4 linked regions of the Anolis sagrei genome follow. The protein of the gene in region 1 binds, or shares a complex with, the protein of each later gene. Links are inferred from orthologs where the notes say so. Each region holds a gene or a part of one and is shown in the gene's direction. Other genes may lie near its edges. The genes, in order: CNOT9, CNOT8, CNOT10 and CNOT2.

Region 1 (7,994 bases):
GGTAGGGACCTCTCTTTCATAATAGTCCAGATATCTACCTCAACTTTGATAAGTTTTACTATAGGCCACAGCAACGTGTGGCAGGGCACAGCTAGTAAATGGATAAAAATGAGGCAGTTGCAGGGTAGGAAAACAATTTCAAGCCCTTATCCATGAGAAACAAATGCCTTATGGCAGGTGGGGGGACTACATGGAATACTGTTACACTTGTTGTTTTTCCACCTGCTAGCAAGTAGTTACAGACATTAAGTGGCATTGCTGTGTGTTTATGCATATACAAACACAAGTAAAATGAGAGGATAGAAATAATTATTGTTCAGTGGAAAAGGTTGCAATTCTACACACAATCACCTCGGAGTAAGTCTCATTTAATTTAATGAGATTTACTTCTATGCAGACGTGCACAGGATTACACTGTACAATATGAATACATACCAGAAGTATACTAAAAACTATTTTTAGTATGCTAGTTGTACACAACCTGAATGGGAAAGCTTGCCTTCCAGACAATGTTGAATTCCAAGTCTGATCCCTTATCAGTAGCTATATTGAAATGGAATCCTTGTTCCCCACTATGTTCAGTAGTTAGATGCATGCTAGTTACTCTTATTTTGGGATTTTTAACTCTACAGGTGTGCAGCATTCTGACGAAAATGACTGTTATAATTCTACTGCAATTAAGCGCATGTTGCCACCATACTTAAAAATATTCAGCAAAGTAGGAGGTCAGGGTCTCCATATTCCAGTAGGAAAAAGTATTGTAGGAATAAGTGTTTCACACACTGTACCATTACAGTCCATTTTTAGCACGAGACGAGAGTAAAGTGGTTCTGCAAATGCCGCTGGGCTATAACTCCCAGCAACCCTAGTCAGAATAGCAAACGATGAGAAATGCTGGGCCTTGCAATCTAACAATATCTGGAACACTTCACAATTCCCACCCATTAAAGCAAATATAACCAGCTTCATTGGTTATACAACCTATACCGAAATAATTTAGGAGAAACAGTATGCCAGTAAGAACTATATTTGGGACTTTAGATAGGTAACATGTATTACTTTTGCAAAGACATGACTTCAAGGTCACAGAGGGGATCTAAGAATGAAGGCCATGAGGAAGTCCATCCCTATATTTTCTCCCCCAGCTCTGTTGCCATTTCAGTGAATGTCAAATGGTCAAATCAGGAAAGTGACCCACAATTCACATTGACACTGTATAATCCACTGCTGTGCCAAGACATAAAAAGCAGGGATTCTGCGCAAAAGCTTCTCACAAGCAAGCCAAAAACAGTGAGCATAACTTCCACAACATTTAACAGGATTACTTTCTACTAAGTACTCAAAGTATGGAGAGAGGTGTGGATGCCCTTGCATGGAAAGATATAAGAACCGGAAACAACATGAGAGAACAATTATCCCTTTTTAATAAACTAAAAGTGAAAAGTAACACATTTTATGTGAATATTATTGGAGAAGATGATCTAACTGTTACACCAACTGTATTTTTTAACTGAATGGGGATTTGGGAGGGATGTTTATAAAGTTCTCAACACCAGTTATTCTTTTGTTCTTTGGCGGTCATAAGAATATTCCAAAAGAAAGCAGAATCAGCATTTGAGAGTTGCTATATTCAACATGGGAGTACATTTTGCTATTTGTATCACCAACCTCAGTATATTTACTCCTCCACTAAGTACTCTCACTTTGGTATAACATAAGATTCATGCTACCAGTGGGTTTGTTTTGTGTGTGTGTCAGGAGCAGCTTGAGAAACACTTCTGGTTTCTCAAGCTGCCCAGAGGACACCCAGATGTTTTGATGACAGAGGGAGCTCTTCCGTGCTCCCCCCGGATTCGAACCTGCGACCTGTCAGTCTTCAGTCCTGCTGGCACAAGGGTTTAACCCATTGCGCCACCAGGGACTCCTACCAGTAATTATAAATGTTACCAGTATTTATAAATTGAGTGGAATTATTCACATCCAATTAAACTGCTGCCTACAATACAACAAGCAATGGGTGTGTGGCATAGAAAACCCTTATACTAAATCAGGGGTCCTCAAACTTTTCAAACAGGTCATAGTCCCTCAAACTGTTGGAGGGCCGGATTATAATTTGGAAAAAAAGAATTAATTCCTATGCACACTGCACATACCTTATTTGTGGTGCAAAAACACTTAAAAACAATACAATAATTAAAATGAAGAACAATTTTAACAAATATAATCTTATTAGTATTTCAATAGGAAGTGTGGGCCTGCTTTTGGCTGATGAGATAGGATTGTTGTTGTTGTTGTTGTTGTTGTTGTGTGCTTTCAAGTCATTTCAGACTTAAGTTGACCCTGAGCGAGGGCCGGGTAAAAGACCTTGGAGGGCCGCATCCGGCCCCCAGGCCTTAGTTTGAGGACCCCTGTACTAAATAATGCAATGCCTATTTAAGACTATGGTGCACCAATTTTTTGTGCTACTCTGGCCACGCTATAACTAAAAAGTCATACAATTTGTAAAGAACACTCAATACTATTTACAGCAAATTCCTACAAGATATGAAGAAACTTGAAAGCAATTTAGAAAACTAGTAAGTTGTTAACGTGTTCTCATCTACCTTGGAGCCAATGAAACATAAATTGAACAGATGGAGCCTCCACAGGTTAACCCACAAAGAAGTTTCACTTGCCTCATTTCTACATTTCAGTTTTCTGGATAGGAAACACTCACTTTTACAGAAACATGGCTGTGAGTGGATCTAGGAGTCAAAGCAAGGGAGAAGCTCACCCCACTCATCTCGGCAAAGCTTTACATGCCTGGCTAGGACTAAAGGGATGAAAGAAAGGCCAACAAGTGGGTGACTCCTAGACACTCTCTTGTCTCTCTGGTGGATCAGAGACAAAAACAAACAATGGGAGATAAGCAGGAAGGAAAGGAAGCGGAAATCAAGGGGTGCATCTACACTGTAGAATTCATACAGTTTGACACCACTTTAATTGCCATGGATCGATGCTATATTATCATGGAATTTGCTGAGGCACCAGCACTCTTGGCAGAGAAGGCTAAAGACCTTGTAAAAGGTAGGTAAAATGGTCTCAAACAACATTGATTCGGCAGTGTGGATGTAACCAAGGTCTGGACCAACAGCCCTGGAAACCTGAGCAGTGAGAAAGAGCATGGCTCAGGCTGAGGGCATGGGATGAAGAATGCCACAAACCAGGCCGAAGTTACCATGGAATAGAGGAGCAAAGGAAAGAAAGAAGAGGTGCACCTATACCAGGTATGGGCAAACTTGGGCCCTCTGGGTGTTTTGGACTTCAACTCCCATAATTCCTGGGAGTTGAAGTCCAAAACAGCCTGAGGGGCCAAATTTGCCCAAAGCTGACTTATACTGTAGAACAAATGCACTTTTGCACCACTTTAACCACCTTGGCTCAGGGCTATAATATTGAGGGGATATGATTTTTGGAAAGTCTTTAGACTTCTCTGCCAAAGAGGCTGCATGCCTCAGCAAACTAGAACTCCAAAATCCCACAGCATTGAGCCACTACTTATTTATTTATCATATTTGTATACCGCCCTTCTCAGTCCGAAGGCGACTCAGGGCGGTTCGTAGTTGGCAACATTTGATGCCTCAACAAATAAACAATCATAAAATACTGTTAAAAACATTCATATAAAATATAAAGTATAAAAACCATAGAAAGCCATAAAAACATTATCATGAGCATCTCCTTGTTAAAATTGTTATTTAGTTACTTCGTCAGGTCATTCCATGATTTTATATAATTACGCTGGATTAGCAAAAGCCTCCTCAAAAAGCCAGGTTTTAACCTTTCTTCGGAAAGTCAGGAGGGAGGGGGCCACTCTTATATCCCTGGGAAGGGTGTTCTGCAGTCGAGGGGCCACCACTGAGAAGGCCATGTCTCTTGTCCCTGCCAAATGCATCTGTGAGGGAGGCGGGGCCGAGAGCAGGGCCTCCCCAGATGATCTTAGTGACCTAGAAGGGTCATAAGGAGTTAGGTAAGCTGGTCCGGAACTGTTTAGGGCTTTATGGGCTAAATCCAGCATTTAAAGTGGTATCAAACTGCAGTAATTCAACAATATAGATCAGGCATGGGCAAAAGTCGTCCCTCCAGGTGTTTTGGACTTGGAACTCCCACAATTCCTAACAGCAGGTCAAAGTTTGCCCATGTATGGTATAGAAGATGGGCCCCAAGCGTGGAGCAATCACACTGGAAGGCAAGGCATGTCTGGGGCCGAAGGGAGGAAAGGAACCAGGCTCAGGCTGTTATGGGAGGCGTGAGCGAGGGAAGGAGGGAAGGATGAAGGGAACTTCTTTCCACCGCTTTAAACGCCCTGGCTCAATGCTATGGGATCCTGGGAGTTGTAGTTTGGTGAGGAAGGGGTAAGGAGGGAAGGGAGAGAGGGCGGGAGGAGAGGGCCCGGTGCCACCGAGCAGGCCTGCCCCTTCGCCCTCCCCGGCACTGAGGAGGCAAGAGTTCCCTCAGAGGGTGCGCCACGCTCCAGACAAGCCCACCACCACAGAGGATGATGGCGGCGGCGGCTTTCCTTCACCTTCTCCGCGAACCCGTCCGGGCTTGGCTCCGTCTCCAGGCCGCCTCTTCCTCCTCCTCCTCCCTGCCTCCGTTCGCGGACACCAGGCCCGCCTCGATCCCAGCCGGCCTGGCTTGCCTTCACGAAAAGGGCAGATGGCGGGAACCAGATCGGCCGCGCCACCGTCCTCCTGACGCCAGCACGCAACGTAAACACGCACGAGAGGGGGGCGGGACCGCGGACAGGACTGGATAGGGAGGCCCCTACGTCATCACGCCGACGGCCTGGAAATCGACTCCTGCCATTCCTGCGCATGCGCACTGTTTCCCTCTGTGGTTTCGAGTTCTGGCGACGCATGCGCCTTCTCGCTCTCCTCGGGCCCAACGCTTATGCCCGCCGAGAGGTCAGAGGTCGCGGCAGTGGCGACGGCGGCAGATCCATCATGGCGGCGCCTGAGGTAGAAGCGGCTTCCTGAGCTCCCGCGAAGGACTCCCGACCATGCACAGCTTGGCCACGACCGCGGTAAGGCCGGGCCGGGTTCGCGGGGCATGGTTTTCCTCGGCAGGGCGGTCAGGAAGCCCGCTGAGGGGCTGAGAAAGGTCTGGTTTCATTGGCCGGCGGAATGAGGGGAGGGGGCGGCAGAGGCTTGTTTTCCCGCCAAATTGCTCTCCTTCAGAAACGACGGGTCCTCCTTAGTTACTCGTGCAGCTCCCTTCCGCTTCCCTGAGAGAGGACCTTCGGCCCAAAGCGGCAGCAGCAGCAGCATGGCGGCAAAGAAGGCGCCTGCAAGGAGGCGGGGCCGGGAGCCTGTTTCCCCCCCCCCCCCCCCCCCCAATGCGCGGATTCATCGTTTATGGTGGCTGATGCGTAAAAAATGGCCCCGGAGTTGAACATAGAAGCATGAAAGTGGTAGTTTTACGAGGTCTCCAGCCTTCTCTGCCAAAGAGTGCTGCTGCCTCACCAAACTACAGCTCCCAGGATTCCTTAGTATGGAGGCAAGACAGTTCCAGGGGCATTCATTCTACAGTGTGGATTCGATTTATTTATTTACTATCATTATATTTCTACTCTGCTCTATCATACCCCGAAGTGGACTCGGCATACAGTTTTGGCAATTTCATTGCCACATTGCACAGATATATATATATATATATATATATATACACATATAACATCACATTAAGCATAAGATCATACATACACACACACAATTAAATGTATTCTCGAAGGCATTCATGACCAGTTAAAGCATGCGATGCAGTGTATTCTAGCATTCCAGAATAATATTTTCCCTAGCATGTGGCATTGGAATCCTGTTCCTAAGTGAGAGCAAATGCTGCAGAATGGAAGGAGGCTTATTTGAGCTTGTAAAGACCTTAAATCAGCAGCGCTCTAGCCAGAGGGGAGGGTTAGGGGTTAACACCCCCTCCCAAAATTTCAGGTTAAAAAAAGATGAATTTTAACTGGTTAACCAAATTCCCATGCTAAGTCTATGAGAAGCAAAAACTAAATGAGTGCCTCCAGAATTTCAAGCACTACTTCAAGCAAATTTTGACAATTTGTTTACACTCATAACTTGCAGCAGTAGCCACGATGGCTCACCCATAACTGGCAGGCAAAGCCTAATGTATTGAGTGCGGGTTGGATTTGAAGGCCCTCATGAAGGAGACCATACTTGGTGGGGACGGTTGACAGGGGCGGAGCTGCAGGCTATTGCTGTGTTCTTTGCTTCGGCATGAGGTAGGAGGCAGGTTCCTAATGGGGAATTAGGCCTTTCACTCGTTGCTTCCACCCTCCCCTTTTCCAGTTAGTAGGTTCCCATTGCTGCGCCTATATAGAGCTCGTTTTCAACTCTTAAACGTTTGAAAACATACATAAGAAAAACAGTGAGGCAAGAAAGACTGACTGGACTTGTACTCTTGAGTGTCCACTAAAGTTTATCAATGGAGCCTGCTTTCTATCAAAGTATATTGACATAGCTTTCAAGTGTTTCCAACAGACGCTATGATATTCTTTTGTAGCTATAAATTACCAATTAATAGTCATTTTCAGTTATTTTAAGACTTGAAACTCTGTAACTAAAATAGAAAACTGATTTAATTAAGTTTATATAAAATATAGAATGAACCATACTATTTAAATTATTTTGTGTTATGGAACTACTCTTCATGATTCGCTTAAAAAGGTTTCAACACCCACCCACCACCCACCCCCAATTTTCTGGCTATGGCCCTGTATATCATTCATGGGCAAACTCAAGCCCTCCGGACATTTTGGTTTCAACTCGCACAATTCCTAACAGCCTGTGGGAGTTGAAGTCCAAAACACCTGGAACGCTGAAGTCTGCTCATGCCCGAAAGAGTTAATTTAGTTTGACACCACTTTAACTGCTATATTTCAATCCTATGGAACTCTGGGAGTTATAGCTTTACAAGGTCTTTTATCCTCCTCTGTCAAAGAGTACTGGTGCCGCCCCAGTATAATTCTACAGTATAAATGTGCCCTAAAGCAAATTCTAAAGCATCAGTAGCATCACTCATAAGTTTTAAATTCTTTAGAAATAACCAGAGATGGAAATGATGCTTTAAAAAATATGGTAGTAGTGGTAAGAAAAGACAGCCAGAGATGCAGGAACCTTGTTCTCAAAGGTTACAGTTGGAAGTTCCCTCTCCAAAAACCAGAATTAAGGAGTCCACCTTAAGTCAGCTTTCCTTTACTATTTTGTATTTACTTCACTTTATTGCCATATTATACTCTCCCCCCCATCCTGTTGGATACTTCACATTGCATTTGTTTCTCCTTGTTGATTTGTGTTAGGTTCTAACAGGTTTTCTATCCTTACTTTTAGAAATTACCGTGTTTCAAATTTAGTGATTTTTAATATCTGTTGTTCAAGACATCATAAGACTTAAGAAATAAAACCAGAGAGATTCCTTTGCAGTTCAACTGTATTTGTAAGAAAGAAAAAGAAATAAATTCAGTTTGATTTATTTTCTGAATCAGCTCAATATCTGTATAGGTTGACTGGAGATATGAACTTAGAAAAACTTGTAAAAATGTGGGGGGACAATTTTTCAGGGAGCAGAATGAAACAAATATAAAACATTTTCGTATAGATCTATAAATATTCAAGACAACATGTTCATATATCTAATTTCTAAAAAATGTACATCCAGTAGACTTAGTTAAGAATATTTACAATAGTGCACTTTAGAGTGCAGTTCTAGAGACAGGTGTTAGTACACTAGCCATTGGCTATAAACCTGCAGTTAATTTCCAGGAAAGAAATACTTATAACTAATGGGCATAAATAGCATGCTGGTTGTTAGCCATTAGAAATAGAAACCTGGCTCTGCCACATTACATTAGCCTGAGAAGTATTGAAGTATAGTATCAAAAGATACTACTGTAAAAGTAGTGGTACGACACCATCTGTAAAAAGCCTTCCCAG
Region 2 (7,173 bases), on another chromosome or scaffold:
AATGGAAGCTCTTCAGAATACACGAGTTTTAAATTGCATTTAAAAAAATAACAACAATTGAGACTAAAAAAGAAAACATTTCTTGAGAAATTGCAAATACTTTCATCTGGTACATTGCAGCCCTAGTTCAGGCAAAGGTCAGTTTACCTTCTATTAGATCTCACGTTTCATTTTATTTAACTACTGGAGAATTTTGAAAGATTTGCCGGAGTTTTCCTCAAAATACGTTTTGAACAGCTATCAAACTGCAGTTTGGAGTTCAAGATATAAAAGGTTGCTTCAACTGTATCCTACTCTGCTTGACAATTGTTCTATCTTGAATTCTAAAGTATTGCGAGTATGGTTTTTCACCATGGTACACAACTGGACAGACGGGCCTTAATAACAAATTTCTCAAAATGGCAGAGACTATAATTTGACTATCAAGGGGCTTACCTGGCTAAGCTTATACTTCCAAAGTTAGGCAAATGCTTACAGCCCTTCGCTTTCAAGCCATGCCTACTGCTATGATTGATGGCAGATATCCTTGTATTCTTCTGATCCTCTATTTGTGGAGCCCTAGAAATTGATGATTTGTCCTGTTATTTCCTCTTCTGTTCATCATATTCTTAACCAATAAGCAAATTTTTTGGATCTTTTCTAGCTTATTTATTTTCTAATAATATTTCAGAATTTTTTTTAATCTCTTGTCTGATATTAATTCCATGGTAACTTGAAAGGTTTCTTTTTTTGCCCTGGCTGAGATGAAAAATTAGGCAAGATTTATCACTGATATTCCAACCAATTCCTCTGGGGATGCTTTTACAGTATTGTTTATATTTAATGTATGCATTGAATTGAATATTTTGCATATATTTTATGTAGTACTTTTATACTGCTACATTAAATATTGTATGGGAGTGACTTATGGTATAATATTAATAAACTACTTATGATCATAAGTGAAGACATCTGCCCTTGCACTTTGCTACTCTGCTGCTGAGTATGCATGCCCAGTGTGGAACACATCTCACCACACTAAAACAGTGGATGTGGCTCTTAATGAGACATGCTGCATTATTACGGGGTGTCTGCGCCCTACACCACTGGAGAAATTACACTGTTTAGCCGGTATTGCACCACCTGACATCTGCCGGGAATAGTGAAAACCAATAGTGAAAGGACCAAGGCAGTGAAATTTCCAGCTCATCCCGTTTGGGTATCAGCCAGCACGTCAACGACTTAAATCAAGAAATAGTTTTCTAAGATCTACAGAGACACTTGCTGGAAACCTCAGCAAGCGAGAGTCCAAGAGTGGTAGGTTCAAACCCAGAACCTCAATCAATGGCTGACACCAAATGAGAGACTCCCCCCTGGGCACACAGAAAAATTGGCAACTTGGAAGGCGCTGAACAGACTGCGCTCTGGTACCACGAGATGCAGAGCCAACCTCAAGAAATGGGGCTACAAAGTAGAATCCACAACATGCGAGTGTGGAGAAGAGCAAACTACAGACCATCTGCTGCAATGCACTCTGAGCCCTGCTACATACACAATGGAGGACCTTCTTATAGTAACACCAGAGGCGCTCCAAGTGGCCAGCTACTGGTCAAAGGGCATTTAATCAACTACCAAGCTTACAAACTTTGTGATTTGTTTGTTTGCTTTTTTAAAAAATTCAATACAACTGTTTGCTTTGCTACTGACATGATAAATAAAGATCACAATTAAAGAAATCTCTCACCACTCCATGTTTTGAATTGCTACTACACTTCACATTCCTTCACCCTTGCCTTGGAATATATCTCTGTCCACAGAGATTTCACTCCATGCACTGCAGTTTACAGAAGCTTATGCCAGAAAATTCTTATCTAAGTTTCAAAGGTGTTTCTGGATTCCTTTGTATATTTTTCTAATAAATATGTTTAAGCAGGGATAAAGTGAAGATTGAAACTCTGGTGTTTAAGGAGTAGGTCAAGAAAAATAATTGAGCTGAAGTTCCTTGGGGAAACAAAAGGGCTTAAGCCTTACCGAAGGAGGTAAGATGAAGGCCAAATCAAAGCACCACAGAAGAAAGGCTGAGACAAAGGTCTTCAGATGACTGAATATCCCAGTAGTGCTCATGTTAGTAAAGCAGCAAATCCATTATGGCCTTTTATTTCAAATTTTATTATTTATTTATTTATTTCACAGTTTTCTATACCGAGCTTCTCAACCTCACTGAGGGACTCAGCCCGGTTTTAGAGAAACTATCAAAGGTCCCTTACACACAACTGAATAAAATCCCACATTATCTGCTTTGAACTGGAATATATGGCAGTGTGGACTCAGATAATCCCGTTTCAAAGCAGATATTGTGGGATTTAAATTTTGGAATAAACCCCAGTTGGATTAACTATTCTACAGACATTGGGTCCACCATATTCTACTGTATGGCCCTAAGAAGTGCATGAAAAAGTCAGTCCAAAAGAGAAATTCGGGAGAAGGAGGAGATTCTCAGCATTAATGTTAACATCATGAAGAATGTTATCAAGAGAGGACAATGGTGAGCCAAGCAGCAGGATCTGCAGAAGAAGAAAGTGTGTGTATGAATTACTGTGTTGCAAATTGATGCATGTCTAAAAAGTGTGTCATCAACATAAAATGTTCGGAAAGCTCTGCCTTAAACAATTTATCCCCCCAAATCACAGATTGGTTTTATAAATCCTTTAAACCTAGAAACAAATTCTTTTATTTTAAAAAGGATAAGCCTTTTAGCAAAGAGTGCAACAACCCTTTGGAAGTAACTGAGAATGAATCTCAACTGAGCATTTCCAAAGGCTAGGAATGATAGTTGCCCACCAATTTCTGATGGTCCTTGTGAAGTCTTGGCTCTGCCTTCTCCTCTCCTCTGTGTTAGTTCTCCCTGTATACAGGCCTTCCCAATAGTGTAGAGACTTTTCTTTGTATTCGTTTTTGCGTGAATCTTAAAATCCCCCCACAGGCCAGTCTTAGCTGGTCTATTTCATTTCCCTGTATAGTGCTCTCTTGATGGACTCCTCCCTTTTCTACAGGCTTGTGGCGTTGTCTGGTAATCCTAGGCCAAGGAATCCAAAAACAGGCATTCTTAGCACCTGGTGCATTTAGCAGTATTTTTATATACTACAGTCCAAAGGACAACAGAAGCTTTTGGTCAGCCTAAGCTTCACAAGGAAGAAGATTGTGACAGTTCACTACTTTACATCAGAGGCAGAAGATGCCAGAAATATGACTGCAACCAGTAAGTTCTCCTTTTGTAATGTATTGTTTTAAGTTACCTAATGATAGTCCCGAGTGGAGTTAACTCTTTTATTCCTCTTGTTTGTAGTAAACTCATTTTGGTTATCTTTTCACTTTGCCTAAAGAGCTTCTGTCTGCTAAGGGACTTAATCTTAACAGAAGGTATCCGATAGCCCCTGAGTAAAGACAGACAATAGTCTTCCCAAAAGCTCAAGTATGCCATCACAGTCCCATTCATGTTCCCCGCCCGGCACAGAAAACGAAATTATGAAAAGGAAGAAAGAAGAGGGAGAAAAAAGAAATGTGAGAGCTCCTTTTTATTTTCACAAGCGTTTCTGTGGGATATAAACCCACACCTTTGGATGCAATAAAGGTAATTAATTATCTGGCTTATTCTCACTCTGCCCTGCATCTAAATAAGTGGTCTTATATATATATGTGTGTATGTATTTGCCCCCTCCAAATTACTTAAATATGTTGCCATCTTTCTTGCTTCTCTCCCCCTTGTTATGCTGCAAGAGACTAACAGGGCCACTTCCTTATAAATCAGGCAGTCCTCTCCCACATAGCACACTCTCAACATTAAGGGTTTATGCCCACATTAATAAGAGTACCCAGGAAAGAAGTTTTAAATGCTACAAAACACTTTGTCAGCAGAGATAACCGGCTCCTTCTCCGTCGCCACTCCCACAGAGCCGCCTCTCAGCCTGGCTTCCCCACGAACCGCAGGCTGCTCCAGTTTCAGTCAGACCAGAAGAGCATGCGCAGTAGCGAGAAGAGCGTCCTTTGAGGCGGCTCCACACGCATGCGCAGTAGGAAGAAGAGCGTCCTTTGAGGCGGCCCCACACGCATGCGCAGTAGGAAGGAAAGCATCGCTTGAGGCGGCTCCACGCACATGAGTAGTAAGAAAAAGCGCGTCCTGTGAGGAGATTCCACACGCATGCGCATTAGGAAAAACATCGTCCCTTGGGGTGGCTCCACACGCGTGCGCAAACAGGCGCGCGCTTCCCTTGCGTTTCCGGTGCCCAACCTTGGGAGGGTCGTTGCTGCTCTCCAGGGCGCATGCGTGCGGAGAAGAGGCAGCGGAGGAAGCAAAACAAAGGCGACAACAAAACATCCACATCGCATCACCGAGTGATGGGACGGAGGTAGCCTAGAACGGCCTCCTCCTCGGTTCCCCCCTCCCTCAGCCCCAAACACAGGCGACGCGAGAGCGAGGACGGGCCGGCGCGCGCCGTTTTCTTCCGGTAAGGCGGCGGAAGCGGCGGCGGCCGCGGGGTTTCCTGAGGCGGGGAGGGAGCGAAAGAGCGGGACGGACCGGATTTCCTGCTCGCGGTCTTCCTTTTCTCCCCGAAGCCTCCTCGGCTGGCTGCCCTTTTGCCTCATAACGTGGCCCAGAGGAAGGGAGAAAGAGAGCGTGCTCGTTCCTTGGCGGGATTGTGCTTTTCCCTTCTGCCAAAATCCCCCTTCAGAAGTGAGAGCAGGCACCTGGCTCAGCCCCTCATGAATCAATTGGAAGGGAAACGGCGTGTGTGTGTGTGGTAGTGGGGGGTGGGGGGGGGTCGAGTTTGCAGAGGAGACAGTCCTGCGAATCCTTCAGTGGAAGGAGGAGGAAGGCCTCCATGTTGCAAGGGGCAAGGGACCTAAGCAGGGCCGGCCTAGTTCACACTTGGGTGGGAGGCCGCCAGGGAGGCGTCTTAGGCTATAATTCAGGGGAAGGAACTGGGGAAAACACCTCATTCCTTGCCTAGGAAAACCTTAGGGAATTCATTGAGCTGATGAGCACCTTGAAAGTACATTTAATCACATGGTATAGTCCCCTAAAAGGATGCAACCGTAACAGATTATTCTACTGTATGTGTATAAATAGGACAATTATCTATACTTGGATGGGAAACTAATAAGGAATAGCGGGTGCTGTAGGCTATATTTCAGAGGAGGGAAATGGCAGAAAACATCTCTGAATATTCCTTCCTGAAGAAAACCCTCTGAAATTCAAAGAATCAGCGGGCAACTTGATGTGTATGTATATGCACATATATATGTGTATGAGTTTCCTTTTTATACACATAAGATATCCCTCAAGAAGTATATAGCCTAACAAGTTATTGTACCATATCTGTATAAATAGGTCAGATATCTCTTTGTTTGGGTGGGAAATCACTAAGGAATAGCAGGCACTATAGGCCATGTTTCAAAGGAAGGAAATGGCAAAAGACATCTTCAAATATTCCTTGCCTAAGAAAGACCTATGAAATTCATTCCATAAGTCAACAGGAGAGTTGAAGGCACATACATGTAAGGGATTTGAGCCAAAGAGGGATGCCTTTCCATTCCTGGTTTTTGAGGAGCTTTACTGGGCCTAGCATTGTGTGCTTGTGTGAATATTGCTTATGGCCTAGCCTCTCCTATTGTTTCCCTTTCTTTGCTTCTGAGCAGCACATTTAGGTATAGTGCAATCATGAAGGAAGAAGCAGACACAATTAGAAAGGTGGTTCAGGTGGAGTATCCCTGATCTGAAATGCTTTAGACCAGAAGGATTTTGTTTCTGATTTTAGAATACCTTTGTTTACATCTACGTATATAATGAGATACCTTGAAGATGACCCCCAAGTGCTAAATTCGTTTATATTTTACAGACATCTTCCACACATAGTCTGAAGATAATTTTATATACATTTTAATAATTTTGAGCATGAGCTTTGTACATTGAACCACCAGAAAGGTTTTGCTATCTCAGCTACTCATATGGACAATTTTGGAGCATTTCATTTGGCTGCATAGGGGATATGCAGTGTGTATTTACAGAGTTCTCTCTTGCTAGGTTTTCGTGTGAAGAGGGAATATGAAAGTACATTCTTATCATAATTTAAAGTAAAGCACCTTGAATGAACATGTTGGGAAGTAGTCCGCTCTTTTGTTCAGTGCAAATAACATTTCTTTTTTGTCATTTAAGTAATCGATACAAAAAAGCTTCTTGTATACAGGGCATAAACTGTGTAATTGTGCATACAAATAATTGTTTATAAACTAGTGCAGTATTTGTTCAAAAAAACAATTCCAAGTGATAGCGCATAGAGAAGTACAATTTCTCCAGGTTCTCCAGTGCATCAGCTTCCAAGATAAGTTGATCATAGTCATGTTGAAAGAACTACGAATTTTTAGCAATATATTTTCTCATGTAAAAAAAATAGAATTTTCTTTATTTGTGGGTTTTCACTTTCACAAGGGTTTTATACCCATTACCCTAGCAAGTGTGGAGGATGATTGTTCTCTTTTAACAATTTCATAGATATTGTTGATGATTTAAAAAAAATAAAATTTACATATATTTTGAGGGCAGTCCTGTACATGTTTACCTGCTCAGACATGGGAATCCACTGGTGACCTTGAACAAGTCACACACTCAGCCTCATAGGAAGGCAAGAGCAAACCCTCTCTGAACAAGAAAATTCTATACTAGGTTTGTTTTAGTGTTCTCATGATATAGAAATCATTTGAAGGCACTCCAAAACAACATATCTCAATTACATCGGAGATTGCAAAGCAGGAAGCAAATATCAGTTCACAAGAATATAAGATTCACTGAGATCCTTTAGTAAAGATAGTACAATCCCAGAAATGCAGAAATGTCAGGAATTTAAAAATGTCTATGTCTTCAATAGACAGACATATACAGACATTACTTTAAAATATTCTGTTTTCACATTTCGAATGACTAAAACAATTGTCAGATTCTTGTTAGGAAGCTATAGATTCATGGGCACCATATTTATAGTGTTACACAGTGAATCCCATTCACCCCAATTCCTACTGGCTGGGTAGAAGGCCCGGCACTTGATGGAGGTCTGTGATCCAACTGATTGGAAGCAGTGACTGATGTTCTCATTCCTTCTGTAAGCCATCTTCATTGAGACAAGCAGAAGCAGGATCTCT
Region 3 (6,943 bases), on another chromosome or scaffold:
GGCTATTAGCCGAGCTTTGCCTAAAGCTCCCTTTAAATCTGAGCTGTCTTGTGGTTATGACTGACTACACCCAGGCATTAATTCTGCTTTCTAGCTCAAATGCAGCAGGAATAGATATTTTGTTTCTGTGGGGCTGGATTTCTTCCTTCTCTCCAACACAGGTGTATGCTAGAAAAAGTACGGTGACATGGTATGGTATATCCAAAACCTGGTGTTCCACCCCGCTTTGTACAGCTGGTCTCTAGCAATCTCTAGTGAGATGCCAAACACAAAGCTGCTTTTAGCCAGCATTACTCACTTGACTTTACTAGCCCTGTCACTGATAATTGGATTTGTAACATGGTGAGATGTTTATTTCTTGACTCCCTTTCCCCGCCCTTTTCTCCCACGTGACACATAAATGCAGGAGCTAATGCAAAGCAGAGTTACAATATGAAGTTTCTTAGACATTCTGTATTTACACCTAAACAAATGTGCTTATTCTAGCCGGGGGTGCAGAAGTACAATTAGCTGCCTATATTTGTTGAAATAGAAAGCAGAAGGGATTAACATACAAAGTAATTTCTCATTTAAATTGCATGGTAATTGTTTAGTAGTTCAAAACATACACATCTCTAGCTGGCAAGGATACAAGAGAAGAGCTTTATAGCGACTTCTAGTGGAACTCCCTAGGCAAGGATTTGTTCTGTTTCCGTTCTTTATTCAGAAGCAAAACTTTTAATCACTTTATAATCTCTATATGTACTTATTTTTTCCTTCCTTTTTGTCAATATAGGAACTCAAGGCTGCTGCTGGAAGGGGGGGGGGTGTCTACCTAGTTGGGTGTCTATTATTGTTGTATTTTTATTTCTGTTATTTATTTCGAATGCATATTTTATTATATTTTATATTCTATTTATAACTAACTGGGAGGGGGAGGTGAAAATATGGGAAATGATTTAAATAATAACTAAGAAGTACTATCAGTTCTCCTACATTTGCTATGGTTGAGGGTGCAGGACCCTTATGAAAATGGGAAAATGTGAATTTTTAAATAGTTATTTTTGCTACCCAAGAGAACAACTTGCTCAGAATCTCGAAGTTCTCCAATGCAACTCTATGGTCAGCTTCTGCCAGGATCTAAAGATCATATTAATCAAATCCATGAATAATCAACTCCATAAAAGTTAAATCCACAAATGTGGAGGGACAACTGAACAATTATAAAGCTGAGGTTAGTTGGATCATACTGGTGTCTGGTGACAGGCCCACTTTCTTCTCTGAAATTACTTTTCCTGATCAAGCCTGACTGGAATGGCCATATTTGAAAGATGAAAGGCAAACCAAAGATCATGTGAAAAAGAGGAAAGGACTCCTATATTTTTTATTAGTTATGTGAGAGAGATAATTTTTGAAGCTTGTATGATATCTGCAGAAATCCCATTTCCTATATTACTTTTAAATATATTGTGCATATACTGTTTGTGTTAGATAAGAACAGGGATAGAAACTAAAATAAATTAAGTTGAAATTTTTGTAATGATAAAAGGGTACTTTTTTTAAAATGAAAATTATCCATTTGTGCTGGAATGTCAGCATTAATGTAATTCTTGAGTTAGGTTATTAATTAATAAAATGAGAGGCAATGGTAAGAAGCTGACACATTTTATCTTTCCCAGATGGTTCTTTATTCAAAACCTAATTCTCAAAGATTTTTGCTGTATTCTAGTTCCCCAGGGTTGGGAAGCTATCACTTTTATGTAATTAAATCCATAACACTTGTCTTAGTTTGTGACTGGAAAATGATAGTTAATTCCAAGGTTATAACATTTTAACGCTTTAAGAGCAGCTTTAAAAGGCTTGCATCAGACACCCTATAGAAGCATTGTCCCAAGTGCCACTGTCATCACCCTTCGTCAGGATAGTTAGTGATAAGGAGCTGCAGCTCCACATCTGCAAAGCCAAAGTTCCCCGATCACTGATGTAGGTGAAGGGATACATTTTGTTGCATGAAAATAACATTCTATCCAGAATAAATGTGCTATTCAGAGGACTTTTAAAATTTAAAATGCATACTAACCTGCTGTATAATGCCACCTAGTGGAAAAACACTTTTAACACAACAGAAACACAGCTAAAAACGGTCCAGCAACTGTTTCATGAATCAGCTCTTTCTCTGTGCTTTTTCAGAACCTTAGGGCCCTTCCACACAGCCCTATATCCCAGAATATCAAGGCAGAAACTCCCACAATATCTTCTTTGAACTGGGTTATCTGAGTCCAAACTGCCATATATTCCAGTTCAAAGCAGATATTGTGGTATTTTCTCTCATGATATTCTGGGATATAGGGCTGTGTGGAAGGGCCAACAACAACATGGTACAAGATAGTAGGAAAGATAAGAGGAAGACCACATTTCAGATAGATAGACTCAGATGGATAAAGCTCTAAATGGTTCAGGTCCAGGCTATTTAACTAACCACATCTCCGCAAACAAACCAACATGAATACTGCAGTATATTATACTATATTATTATACAACAATACATATAATACACTACGAGTATTTTATACCATTAGTACTATATAATATATTGTACTGTATCATAAGGTGTATAAGTTAAGGTGAAGGTTTTCCCCTGACATGAAGTCCAGTCATGTCCAACTCTGGGGTGTGGTGCTCATCTCCATTTCTAAGCTGAAGAGTTGGCATTGTCTGTAGACACCTCCAAGGTCATGTGGCCGTCATGACTGCATGAAGCGCTGTTACCTTTCCACCGGACTGTTACCTATTGATCTACTCACATTTGCATGTTTTCGAACTGCTAGGTTGGCAGAAGCTGGGGCTGACAAGGGAAGCTCACACCGCTCCCCAAATTCGAACCTGCGACCTTTTGGTTAGCAAGCTCAGCAGCTCAGCGCTTTAACCCAAATTTGGAGACAATACACTTATCAGGCCAACAAGTGACCATCACTCATAAAAACACTGAAAAACACAGCGACAAAAACAACTCCAACCCCAAAAGGCTGCTAGGAAGGCTGTTAGGAATTGTGGGAGTTGGAGTCCAAAACCCCTGGAGGGCCCAAGTCTGCCCCTACTTGGTCTACACCATGGAATTATTCCACAGCATTAAGCCATGGTAGTTAAAGGGGCCCCATAGGCCATCCAGCCCCACCACTTTTTCAGTAAAGGAAGACACCATCAAAGCCCTTCTGACAGATGGCCATCCAGTTGGAACCCCAAACGCCATCCAGTCCAACCTCATTGGGCGGTAAAGGAAGACACCATCAAACCCTACTCGACAGATGGCCAACCAGTTGGAAGGGCGCCCCAAAGGCCATCTAGTCCAACCCCCTTTGGCCCCTTTAACATGTGTGTCTGTCTGATCATCCATCCATCTACCTACCTATGTTCTATCCATCTACCTTCTGTTCCATTTCTCAATGTCCCTTCCATATGTCTCTATTGTTCCATGCCTGGAATTCCTGTTTTCTGAGGGCCACAGCAACGCCTGGCAGGGGACGGCTAGTATATAATATTACAACATTATTAATATAATATAATATAATCACCCCTCCCTCAATAGGAGGCTTAAGGTTTGATTTAGGTGGAGGATCCATCTACACTGCAGAATTAATTCAGTTTGAGACCACTGTAAGTGCCATGGGCTCACACTACATTTATCTTACAGCGTAGATCAGGCATGGGCAAACTTGGGCCCTCCAGGTCTTTTGGACTCCAACTCCCACAATTCCTAACAGCCTACCGGCTGTTAGGAATTGTGGGAGCTGGAGTCCAAAAGACCGGGAGGGCCCAAGTTTGCTGCTACTTGCTATTCCCAAGTAGGCTGACATCCGGGTCCCTCTTCTCTTTTCCTGTCGGCCGCGCCCACTAAAACTTTGAAAGCTTCTAGCTCCGCCCACTGCAGGTTTTACGCACGTGACGCTCCCTGCGCTGAGAACAGCGAGGAGACGTTCGGGGCTAGAGAAGCTCCCATTCCCCGAACCGGAAGGAGAAGAAGAAGAAGCTCCGGGTCAGGCGCTGAGGGGGAGAAATTGGTTTGTTTGATTCGCGACTCCTCACTTTTCCCTCAGGCGGAGGCTTGTGAGGCGCGGAAGGCCTTGTCGTGGAGTCCGCCCAGGCCGCAGCTACCTCGGGAGCCTTCAGTAGAGCCACCCCATGGCGGCAGACAGAGGCGGAGGTGAGGACAAAGAGGCGAGGCCGGCGAGGGAGGGAAGGAGGCCAGCCCAGGCCCCTTGGCGGGAGGAAGGGTACCTATGACAGGGTTTCCTTCGGTATCTCTCTCCTGGCTTTCTCTCTGGAAATCTCAAGTCAAGGGAATCTCAAGTCTCTTTAAAGCCCTGGTCGCTCAGTTATGTTAGACTCCAGTTCCCAGAATCCCTGATTATTGGCCCAAGCAGCTGGGAGTTGGGAGTCTAAAACAGTTTGGGGATTGGGTTGCTCTGAGTTTTCTAAGCATTATGGCCATGTTCCAGAAGCATTCTCTTCTGACGTTTCACCCACATCCATGGCAGGCATCCTCAGAGATTGAGAGGTCTGTTGGAAACTAGGGGTTTATATAAATGTGGAATGTCCAGGGTGGGAGAAAACTCATGCCTGCTTGAGGCAAGTGTGAATGTTGCAATTGATCACCTTGATTAGTGTTGAATAGCCTCGCAGCTTCAAAGCTTGGCTGCTTCCTGCCTGAGGGAATCCTTTGTTGGGAAGTGATTAGGAGTCCCTCGGTGGCACAATGGATTAAACCAGGGGTCCTCAAACTTTTTAAACAGAGGGCCAGGTCACAGTCGCTCAGACTGTTGGAGGGCCAGATTATAATTTGAAAAAAAAAAACATTAATGAATTCCTATGCACACTGAACATATTATTTATAGTGCAAAAAAAACACATTAAAACAATACAATAATTAAAATGAAAAACAAATTTAACAAATATGAACTTATTAGTATTTCAATGGGAAGTGTGGGCCTGCTTTTGGCTGATGAGACAGGATTGTTGTTGTTGTTGTTGTTGTTGTTGTTGTGTGCTTTCAAGTCATTTCAGACTTATGTTGACTCTGAGCTAGGGCCAGGTAAATGACCTTCGAGGGCCGTATCCAGCCTCCGGGCCTTAGTTTGAAGACCCCTGGATTAAACCCTTGTGCCGGCAGGACTGCTGACCAATAAGTCAGCAGTTCCGAATCCAGGGAGAGTGCAGATGAGCTCCCTCTGTCAGCCCCAGCTCCCTATGTGGGGACATGAGAGAAGCCTCCCACAAGGATGGTAAAACATCAAAACATCCGGGCGTCCCCTGGGCAACGTCCTTGCAGACAGCCCATTCTCTTACACCAGAAGCGACTTGCAGTTTCTCAAGTCACTCCTGAAATGAGGGGGGGAAAAAGCTGTCCTGATTGTTTCTTGTCTGGAATTCCCCTGTTTGTGAGTGCTGTTCTTTATTTATAGTCCTGATTTTAGAATTTTTTTCCAAACTGGTAGACAGATTTTGTTCATTTTCATTGTTTGCTCCTTTCTCTTGAAATAGTCCACATGCTTGTGGATTTCAGTGGCTTCTCAGTGTAGTCTGACATGGTAGTTGTTATAGTGGTCCAGCATTTCTGTGTTCTTTAATAATATTCTGTTTCTAGGTTGGTTGGACACAGCTTGGAGATTTCTCCTTTCAGAGCCTGAGAGAAAGAAGGCAGGGGAAGAAGGAGCTAAAGTTGCAGTGGGGATGGATCTACACACCTAAATAATGCCTATAATGCAGTTCAACTGCATTACAGGCAGTCTCAGAGTTACAAACATCCAACTTAAAAATGACTCATAGTTAAGAACGAGGGTGAGACAGCAGGAAGTAAAAAAAATCTGCACTGCAGAAGGGAAATCCACTCCTGAAAGAGATATCATGGGGGAAAGGTGTCTCCACTGAAGCTCTATCACCAATCCTTGGGCCCTTCAGACAGATCATATATCCCAGGATCTGATCCCAGGTTTTCTGTTTATCCCAGATTATCTGGCAATGGGGACTCATATAATCCAATTTAAAGCAGAAAACCTGGGGTCAGATCCTGGGAATGTAGGATCTGTCTGGAAGGGCCCCTTGTTTCCACAACAAGCCAGATTTTTTCAAAATCCTATTATCACTGGAACAGAAAGTGAAGTAAAAGGGGGGGGGGGGGAGAGTTCCAACTGATATCTTCTCTCTAACAAGAGTAAAAGATTGTCCTTGAAGATCTGCGTTGATTTCTTTCATCTTCTTATATTTCCCTTCTTCTCTTCTCAATTATTTCTTACTTAGATCAAGGAACAGAAAAACATGAAGGAACGGGTATCTCTTCTGGGATTACTGATCAAGAGAAGGAACTATCAAACAGTGCACTGCAAGCATTTACGGTAAGATACGATTCTTCAATTTTGTTATGTTAAACAGAAGGTACATCTGGTTACAAATCTTCTTTTCTGCTTTCAGGAAATACTTTATTTGACATGACAAAAATATGTTTCACTAGGATCCCATCTACACAGCCATATAAAATCCAGATTATCTTCTTTGAATGAGATTACATTAGTCTACATGCCATATAATTCAGTTCAAAGCAGATAATCTAGATTTTATATTGCAGTGTAAATGGGGCCTAAGTGATTGGACTTTTATTATTAATTTCTTTATATGTGTGTGTTACAGATTTTTAATTGTTCTTCTGGAAATTTTTTAGATTAAATTAGAATATTTTATTTCAAAATCAATCTGCATCTTTCTTCCTCTACACTAAATAACAAAAGTACAGTACAAAGAAATCTTATAAATATGCTAACACAATACGGTTTTATGAAAATTAATGGAAGGTTTTATCATAGTCACATGCTGAGTTGCGTATTAATCCAAGAAAAAAATGGGTTTTTCAATGTCTCTCAACTATTAGTTCTTGCTTCTTGGCAGTTACTGTCTTTTCACTTCTGTTTCTGTT
Region 4 (7,168 bases), on another chromosome or scaffold:
ACTCCCTTCCTGTTGTCCTTTTGTCGGCAGGCATTTTTATTTAACCAAAAATGTTGTACATACAGTGGGGTGGCTTTTTATGGGGTATGCTTTACTAATCAAACTAAATGTATATTTTAATTGATTTTAAAATGTTATTATAATAGAATTTTAATTATATTTTTAATTAAATAGCAAATGCTTTTAATTTATTCTATTTTGAAAGCAAAACAGTATATTAAAAAATCCTGGGGAAACACACATAAATATAACTATATATAAATCACTTAAAAAGACACATTTGACAAGGGCAAGAAAACTCCTCTGGGGAAGGGGATATTACTCCCATGTTGGAATTTCATCATGTCTGAAAAAGCCTGTTTTGTGAAAGACAAACCTTTACTACATGATGCAAGGGTGGCCTTGCTGCGGCAAGGTATGTGTTTGTGCTTGCAAAATATACCTACCAAGCTAATGTTATATAATGTGGGGTGGCTTTTTGTGGAACATGTTTCACTAATGTTATTAAACCGTTTTAAGTTGGTTTTAAAATGTATTATGACACAATTTTAATTGTTACTAAAATTTTAACATGTTTGAAAACAGACTGTTTTGGGGAAATAAGGAGAGAAGAGATGGCTTCTTAGCCAGGGCAGCTATGGCTCCCTGTGTTGGTAATGGTTAAAAGGTCCCTTCCAAGCTTTTTAGGCTATAAGGGGGTTTTTGGTCGGGCATGTTTTACCCATCTTATCCAATTACTGAATATTTTAAATTGATTCTAAAATGTATCATAATAGGATTTTAATTGTAGTCTCGCTCTGAAGGGAGGCATATACATTAACAAACATGGAAAGCATAGAGAAAAATAACCACATAGAAATCACCTTAAAAGACAGCAAACTCTTGTGGTGAAGAGGGTATTACTGGAATTTCAACCTGTCTGTTTTGTGAGGGGCAAAGAGAGAAGAGGTACCTCCCCGCCTTTACCACAGTGTTGGTTTGTGCTTGTTAAAGGTCCCTCCCAAGCTTTTAGTAAAGAGGTGGGGTGGGTTTATTGGGGGTGTTTTACTACTCTTTTACTAAACTTTTGATTATTGGATTTAAAATGTATTTTAAAATGTACTCTGGTAGGATTTTATTTCTTTTTTAAAGTTGTAGGCAAATGGTTATAATATACCGTTTTTCCAAATAGCAGCATGTACAAGTAAATTAAAGAAAAACAGGAAAGCCTCTCATATATATAGTGCCATACAAGTGGTCTGAAAAGCTACTACAGGTAAGAAAGCACACATAAACTCCTGTGGTGAAGGGATTCTTATTACTTGAATTTCACCTCCTCTGAAAACAGGCTGTTTTGGTGTGTGTGTTTAACATGTAGGGTAAAAAAAAATAATTTGCAGGCAGTCTCCAAATTATGAAAAGGATAGGTCCTGTAGGTTTGTTCTCAAGTTTATTTTGTTGGAACATGTACTTTTTAAAAGTATAACTCCAGCCAAATACACACACACATACACATATATAAGCTTTGGATAGCATAGGGGTCAACACCTCTGTGGGGTCTGTTTTGCTGTCTGTGCCGCTGTTGAGAAGATTCCACTTCCCTTTCTGGATTTTGGAAAATGTGGCTTGTTGTGGAGACAAGGATGGGTGATAAAGCTCCACTAGAGATACCTTTTTCCCCTGATCACTCTTCCAGGAGTGAATTTCCCTTCCCTTCTCCTTCCTAAGGATAGACTGCCCTTCCTGTTGTCTCACCCGTTCTTAATTATGAGTAGTTTGTAAGTCAGGTGTTTGTCACTCGAGGACTGCCTGTATCATTTTTAGAAGCCTCCTAGGGTCCCACTGAAAAGTGGCATATAAATTAAACAAGCATGCCTATATAAATGGCCTGAAAAGACACCATGTAGAAGAAAGGGCAAAGAAGTTCTTATTGGAATTCCATCAGGTTTGAAAATGCTTGTTTTGTGGGGCAAAGACGAGAAGGGAAATCTTCTCAGGATACTTCCACAAAGCTGTATAAAATCTACATAGAAGTTCTGGCAGTATGGACTTATGTAACCCAGTTCAAAGCAGATATTGTGAATGATCTGCCTTGATGATCAGCGGCTTAAAGAGCTGGGCATGTTTACCCTGCAGAAGAGAAGGCTGAGAGGAGACATGATGATTATGTACAAATATGTGAGGGGAAGTAATAGGGAGGAGGGAGCAAGCATGTTTTCTGCTGCCCTGGAGACTAGGACGTGGAACAATGGCTACAACTTGCACTATCCTATTCCCTTGTTCCTGTATACAGTTGGCGATGTTTTACAACAGTTCTCACCATAGGTTATTGAGTTGAAATTGTTTTATATGCTATTGGTTTTATCTTTTATTGCATTGTTTATTTTATGCATTGTTTTAGGCACATTGTGCTGTATGCAAGCTGCCTCAAGTTCCTTCGGGGACATGGAGGCTGGGTACAAAAGTAAAGTTATAGTAATAATAATAATATCACTCAAACTACAGGAAAGGAGATTCCACCTGAACATGAGGAAGAACTTCCTAAATGTGAGAACTGTTCAATAGTGCAACTCTGTGCTCCAGAGTGTGGGGGAGGCTCCTTCTTTGGAAGGCTGGATGGCCATCTGTTGGGGATGTTTTGAATGCAATTTTCCTGCTTCTTGGCAGGGGGTTGGACTGGATGGCCCATGAGATCTCTTCCAGCTCAATGATTCTATTATATTCTGGGGGCCCTGAATAAAATCTCACATTATCTGCTTTGAACTGGATCATCTGGCAGTGTGGACTCAGATAATCCAGTTCAAAGCAGATATTGTGAATGACCTGCCTTGACATCATGGGTGATATGGCCGTTTGGAAGGGAATTTAAGGCCCTTCCACACAGTCCTCTATCTCAGGACATCAATGAAGAAAATCTCACAATATCTGCTTTGAACTGGGTTATTTGAGTTCACACTCTGATAATGTGGGATTTTCTGCCTTGATATTTTGGGATGTGGGGCTGTGTGGAAGGGCCCTCAGAATAGATAGTGCTGAGAGCCTCCGAGTCAGGGGGCTCTTCCATAGAGCCCTGTATTCCAGAGTACCAAGGCTAAAAATCCCACATTATCTGAGTGTGGACTCAGGGCCCTTCCACACAGCCCTATATCCCAGAATATCAAGGCAGAGAATCCCACAATATCTGTTTTGAGCTGGGTTATCTGAGTCCACATTGCCATATATTCCAATTCAAAGCGGAAAATGTAGGATTTTTTTTCAGCTCTGTGGAAGGGGCCTCAGTGCTATGAAATTCGGGGATTTGTAGTTTGGTGAGATGCTAGTATTCTTTGGCCGAGAAGGCTGTAGACCTTCCCCACAGCCCTATATCCCAGAATATCAAGGCAGAGAATCCCACGATGTCTGCTTTGAACTGGGTGATCTGAGTCCACACGGTGGGATTTTCTGCCATGCTATTTTGGGCTGTGGGGAAGGGCCCCCAATCCTTCCCAAGGGGTGCCAGGGCAAGTCTTCCTTTCTTCTGCAACCGAGGTGTGTGTTTATGTTTGAAAAGGGCCCCTCCCTCCCTCTTTCCTTCCTTCCTTCCGTCCCTCCTTCTCAGTGGAAGAGAGGCCCCTTCCCTCCCTCCCTCCCGCTTTCCCCGGATGTCTGAGGCTCTCTTCTCGACTCCCACGAGGCCGCTCTGAGGCCTTGTCCTGGGGCCCTTCTTCCCTTTCTTCCTCTCCTTCCTTGCGAGGCCGTAAGCGAGGGCCCTTCTCCCTCGGCGAGGCCGGCGACGGAGGAGAGGCGCCGTCTCCCGTGGCCGCCGGACGGCGACGTCGAGGTCACGCCGGCAGCGTCGGGGTCAGAGGGCAAAGGTCGCTCCCCCAGCATCCTCCGTGCGGGGTGCTCAGCCATCTTGGATCCTCGGGACAAGAAAATTCATGCGGTGAGTGCGGCCCTGTTATTCTTTCCCCCGCTTCGGCGCCGCGGCTCGGCTCGAAGCCTCCTCAGGGAAGCGGCGGGCAGCCAAGGGGGGCTTCTGGCAGGCGCCTGCCCGGGTGGAGGCGCTCAAGGCCGGCCTGGTCCCGCCGGGCCGCTTCCGTTTGCTTTTGTCTCTCTGAGGGAAGGAAGAGAAAGAGAGGAAGGGGAGGAGGAGGAGGAGGGATGCCTGAGGGGAAGGGGGAAGCGGGCAAGGCCGCTCGGAGGCGCAGCGCTTGAGGACGAGGAGGAGGAGGAAGGAGCCCCGAGGCCGGCCTGCCTTCCCTGGCTTCCGAAGGGGAAGGAGGCCTCGCTCCCGTCTTTCTCGACTCCAGTGGTGGCGGCGGCGGTCCTTTATGCCCGCATCCGAGCTCCCCGCCTCCTTAGGCCTCAGGGTAAGGCACCCAGGGACCAGGCTTGCCCTTTGTACATGCGCAGAGGCTCCCAGCGGTGGCGGGCTTTGCGGCCTAGGGATCTGGAGGCTCCCGCCACCAAGCAGGCCTGCTCGCCTGCCTCCTCTTTGGCGAGTTTTTGGTGGGAAGGAAACTTGGGAGAAACCGGCGGCGTGGAAGGGTTTTGTTGTGGTTGTTTTGTAAACACGGGCCCACCTCGAGGGCTCCGCAGAAGGAAGGCCGGAGCCCTGGCCTGGGTCGCTGGCGGGACGCGAGGGGTCCTTTGTTTGCGTTGGAGTTGCGTCTCCTCTCGCCACAGAGCCGGGCCTTTTGGGGGACGGGACTCGGGTCTCCCCCCAATCCATACTGGGCAAGGAACGCGGTTGGGAGCCAGTTTCCAAACTGCCGCGGCCAGGCCACAAACTCCGGCAAAAGTGCGCCAAAGCAAGCCCTGAATGTGCCCCCGTGCTCCCCCAGTTCGTGCAATCACCGCCTGGGCCTCAGGCTGGTTCTGTATTTTTCTCCATGTAATCATCTGCACAGCGAAACCACTTTCTTCAGTTCCGGTTTGAAACTGCATTCAGTGGTCAGTGGGGATGTAGCCTTGTTCCACCCAGGGAGCAAACTTTTGCAAGCGTTTTCCCAAGTTTGCAGATGTAGACACACAACAACAACAATGCATTGTAACTATAAATTGTAGTTCATCACTCTCTGCTTTGAGTAGAATACATATTCCGTTGTAGAATTAATGCAGTTTGACACCAGTTTAACAGCCTTAGCTCAATGCTGTGGAGACCTAGGAGTTGTACTTTTACAAAGGGCCCTACCACACAGCCCTATTTCTCAGAATACCAAGACAGAAAATCCCACATTATCTGAGTGGACTCAGATCACCCAGTTCAAAGCAGATTTTCTGCCTTGATACTCTGGGATATAGGGCTGTGTAGAAGGGCCCCAAGTCTTTAGCTTTCTCAACCAAAGAATACGAGTATCTCACCAAACTACAAATCCCAGAATTTCATAGCACTGAGGCCCCTTCCACACAGCTGAAAAAAATCCCACATTTTCTGCTTTGAACTGGAATATATGGCAGTGTGGACTCACATAACCCAGTTCAAAGCAGATATTGTGGGATTTTCCAATTTGATATTCTGGGTTATATGGCTGTGTGGAAGGACCCTCAGCCATAGCAGTCAGTGTAAAATTACATTAATTCTACAGATGCTCCCCATAGGGAAGATTTCTTTACTCACTGTCTTTTAAAATAATACTATGATAAATAATTGTAGTTACCCTGTGATTCCATAATCTGTCATTCTTAAATTGCTTGAGCCCTTCCACACAGCCATATAACCCAGAATATCAAGTTGGAAAATCCCACAGTATCTGCTTGGAACTGGATTATCTGAGGGCCCTTCCACACAGCCCTATATCCCAGAATATCAAGGCAGAAAATCCCACATTATATGAGTATTTACTAAGATAACCCAGTTCAAAGCTGATACTATAGGATTTTCTGCCTTGATATTCTGGGATGTAGGGCCGTGTGGAAAGGCCCTGAATCTACACTGCCATATAATCCACTTCAAAGCAGAAAATGTGGTATTTTATTCAGCTGTGTGGAAGGGTCCTTTATTTATAGTTTACACTGGACTACTAAACATCCCAGGTAGTTGATGTCATGCAATGCTGCCTGTGTTTCTACCAACTGAAATACTAATAATTTACAAAAGAGGCATGTAAGCTTCTGACACAAGGCTGTAGGTCATTTTTGCTAGGGATTGGGGACATTTCAGTTTTGCAGTGTAATTAACATTGGTGTGAAAGGCTTTGAACTTTTGAAATCTTCAGCAAAATACTTGAGGAAAAGAGCTAGTCAGTCATCACATTTCACTTCTAACCAACTTGTCTGCCCTCCCCCCCCCTCAGTCTTAATTAATTAATTAACTAAGTATATTTCTATCCCACTCTATCTCACCCTGAGGAGGACTCAGAGCAGTTTACAATTTGGCAAAATTAAATATCACATTATACATAAGAAAAAAGCAATACATGACATAGTTAACTAAAAATCAATAAACATATAAATACAAATAAAAACAATTAAAACATATTAAGCATATTAAAACATCATAAAATGTATTGAACATTGCACCAATTCTGTAGTCATCATACAGTTTAAGTCTGTTTTAAAATTCTTTCCAAAACATGGAGGAGAAAGTGATCTGAACCTAACTTGCACAGTTATAAAAACTATACAGGCATTTATTATTTGGAAAAAAGAATCCAGCAGGTATTCATACTCCTAGCAGAGGAATCTGATATTACTCTTTGGACATGGTTTTTTTAAATGTATGCAGGGATTTCTTTCCCCTTCATACACTTTTTGGAAAAAGTTTTTAGAAGAAGTTACAGGTACTTACTGTGTTTTCTACCCACAGCACAGGTTGGATAAATGTTTAATAAAGATGGTTACTGCTTTTCTTAAACTTCTCATGTGAAGTAAAAGTTGGAATGCTTTGTATCACCAAGGGTCATTTCTGTCAGAAATTTCATTTTAGGATTGCATGATTCTTTCAGTCATTGATGCTGTCTTAAGTCCTTGATGTTGAGTCCTAAATGTTCATCAGACAACTGTAAAAAACATTGTCCTATAAAGGAAACACTTAGTGCTTATCAGGATACTTAATAAACCATACTTATTCAGCTATACTTTTACTGAAATACTATTTAGTATTTATGTAACTGAAGCAGATTTTTGTGATGTCTCTGAATAATTTTGTACCCTACACCTTGATTTTCACAAAGGAGTTTTGTGAATTAAGTCAATCTGCACAACC

Evidence for each region.
Region 2: CNOT9 (region 1) and CNOT8 share a complex: the UniProt entries of both Homo sapiens proteins name them as parts of the CCR4-NOT complex. The link is inferred for Anolis sagrei from reciprocal best matches to the Homo sapiens genes CNOT9 and CNOT8.
Region 3: CNOT9 (region 1) and CNOT10 share a complex: the UniProt entries of both Homo sapiens proteins name them as parts of the CCR4-NOT complex. The link is inferred for Anolis sagrei from reciprocal best matches to the Homo sapiens genes CNOT9 and CNOT10.
Region 4: CNOT9 (region 1) and CNOT2 share a complex: the UniProt entries of both Homo sapiens proteins name them as parts of the CCR4-NOT complex. The link is inferred for Anolis sagrei from reciprocal best matches to the Homo sapiens genes CNOT9 and CNOT2.

The regions. Positions count from the first base shown.
Region 1 is NC_090021.1:229,041,404-229,049,397, forward strand, and holds the start of CNOT9 (CCR4-NOT transcription complex subunit 9), read left to right. Parts: upstream 1-4,975; 5' UTR 4,976-5,041; coding exon 5,042-5,065; intron 5,066-7,994. Other genes in the region: USP37 (ubiquitin carboxyl-terminal hydrolase 37), read right to left, coding at 4,565-4,900. UniProt on the Homo sapiens protein: Component of the CCR4-NOT complex which is one of the major cellular mRNA deadenylases and is linked to various cellular processes including bulk mRNA degradation, miRNA-mediated repression, translational repression during translational initiation and general transcription regulation.
Region 2 is NC_090022.1:81,795,523-81,802,695, reverse strand, and holds the start of CNOT8 (CCR4-NOT transcription complex subunit 8), read left to right. Parts: upstream 1-4,169; 5' UTR 4,170-4,484; intron 4,485-4,548; exon of another isoform or gene 4,549-4,711; intron 4,712-7,173. UniProt on the Homo sapiens protein: Has 3'-5' poly(A) exoribonuclease activity for synthetic poly(A) RNA substrate. Its function seems to be partially redundant with that of CNOT7.
Region 3 is NC_090026.1:81,514,039-81,520,981, reverse strand, and holds the start of CNOT10 (CCR4-NOT transcription complex subunit 10), read left to right. Parts: upstream 1-3,931; 5' UTR 3,932-4,158; coding exon 4,159-4,180; intron 4,181-6,273; coding exon 6,274-6,368; intron 6,369-6,943. UniProt on the Homo sapiens protein: Component of the CCR4-NOT complex which is one of the major cellular mRNA deadenylases and is linked to various cellular processes including bulk mRNA degradation, miRNA-mediated repression, translational repression during translational initiation and general transcription regulation.
Region 4 is NC_090025.1:143,579,753-143,586,920, forward strand, and holds the start of CNOT2 (CCR4-NOT transcription complex subunit 2), read left to right. Parts: upstream 1-4,150; 5' UTR 4,151-4,292; coding exon 4,293-4,331; intron 4,332-7,168. UniProt on the Homo sapiens protein: Component of the CCR4-NOT complex which is one of the major cellular mRNA deadenylases and is linked to various cellular processes including bulk mRNA degradation, miRNA-mediated repression, translational repression during translational initiation and general transcription regulation.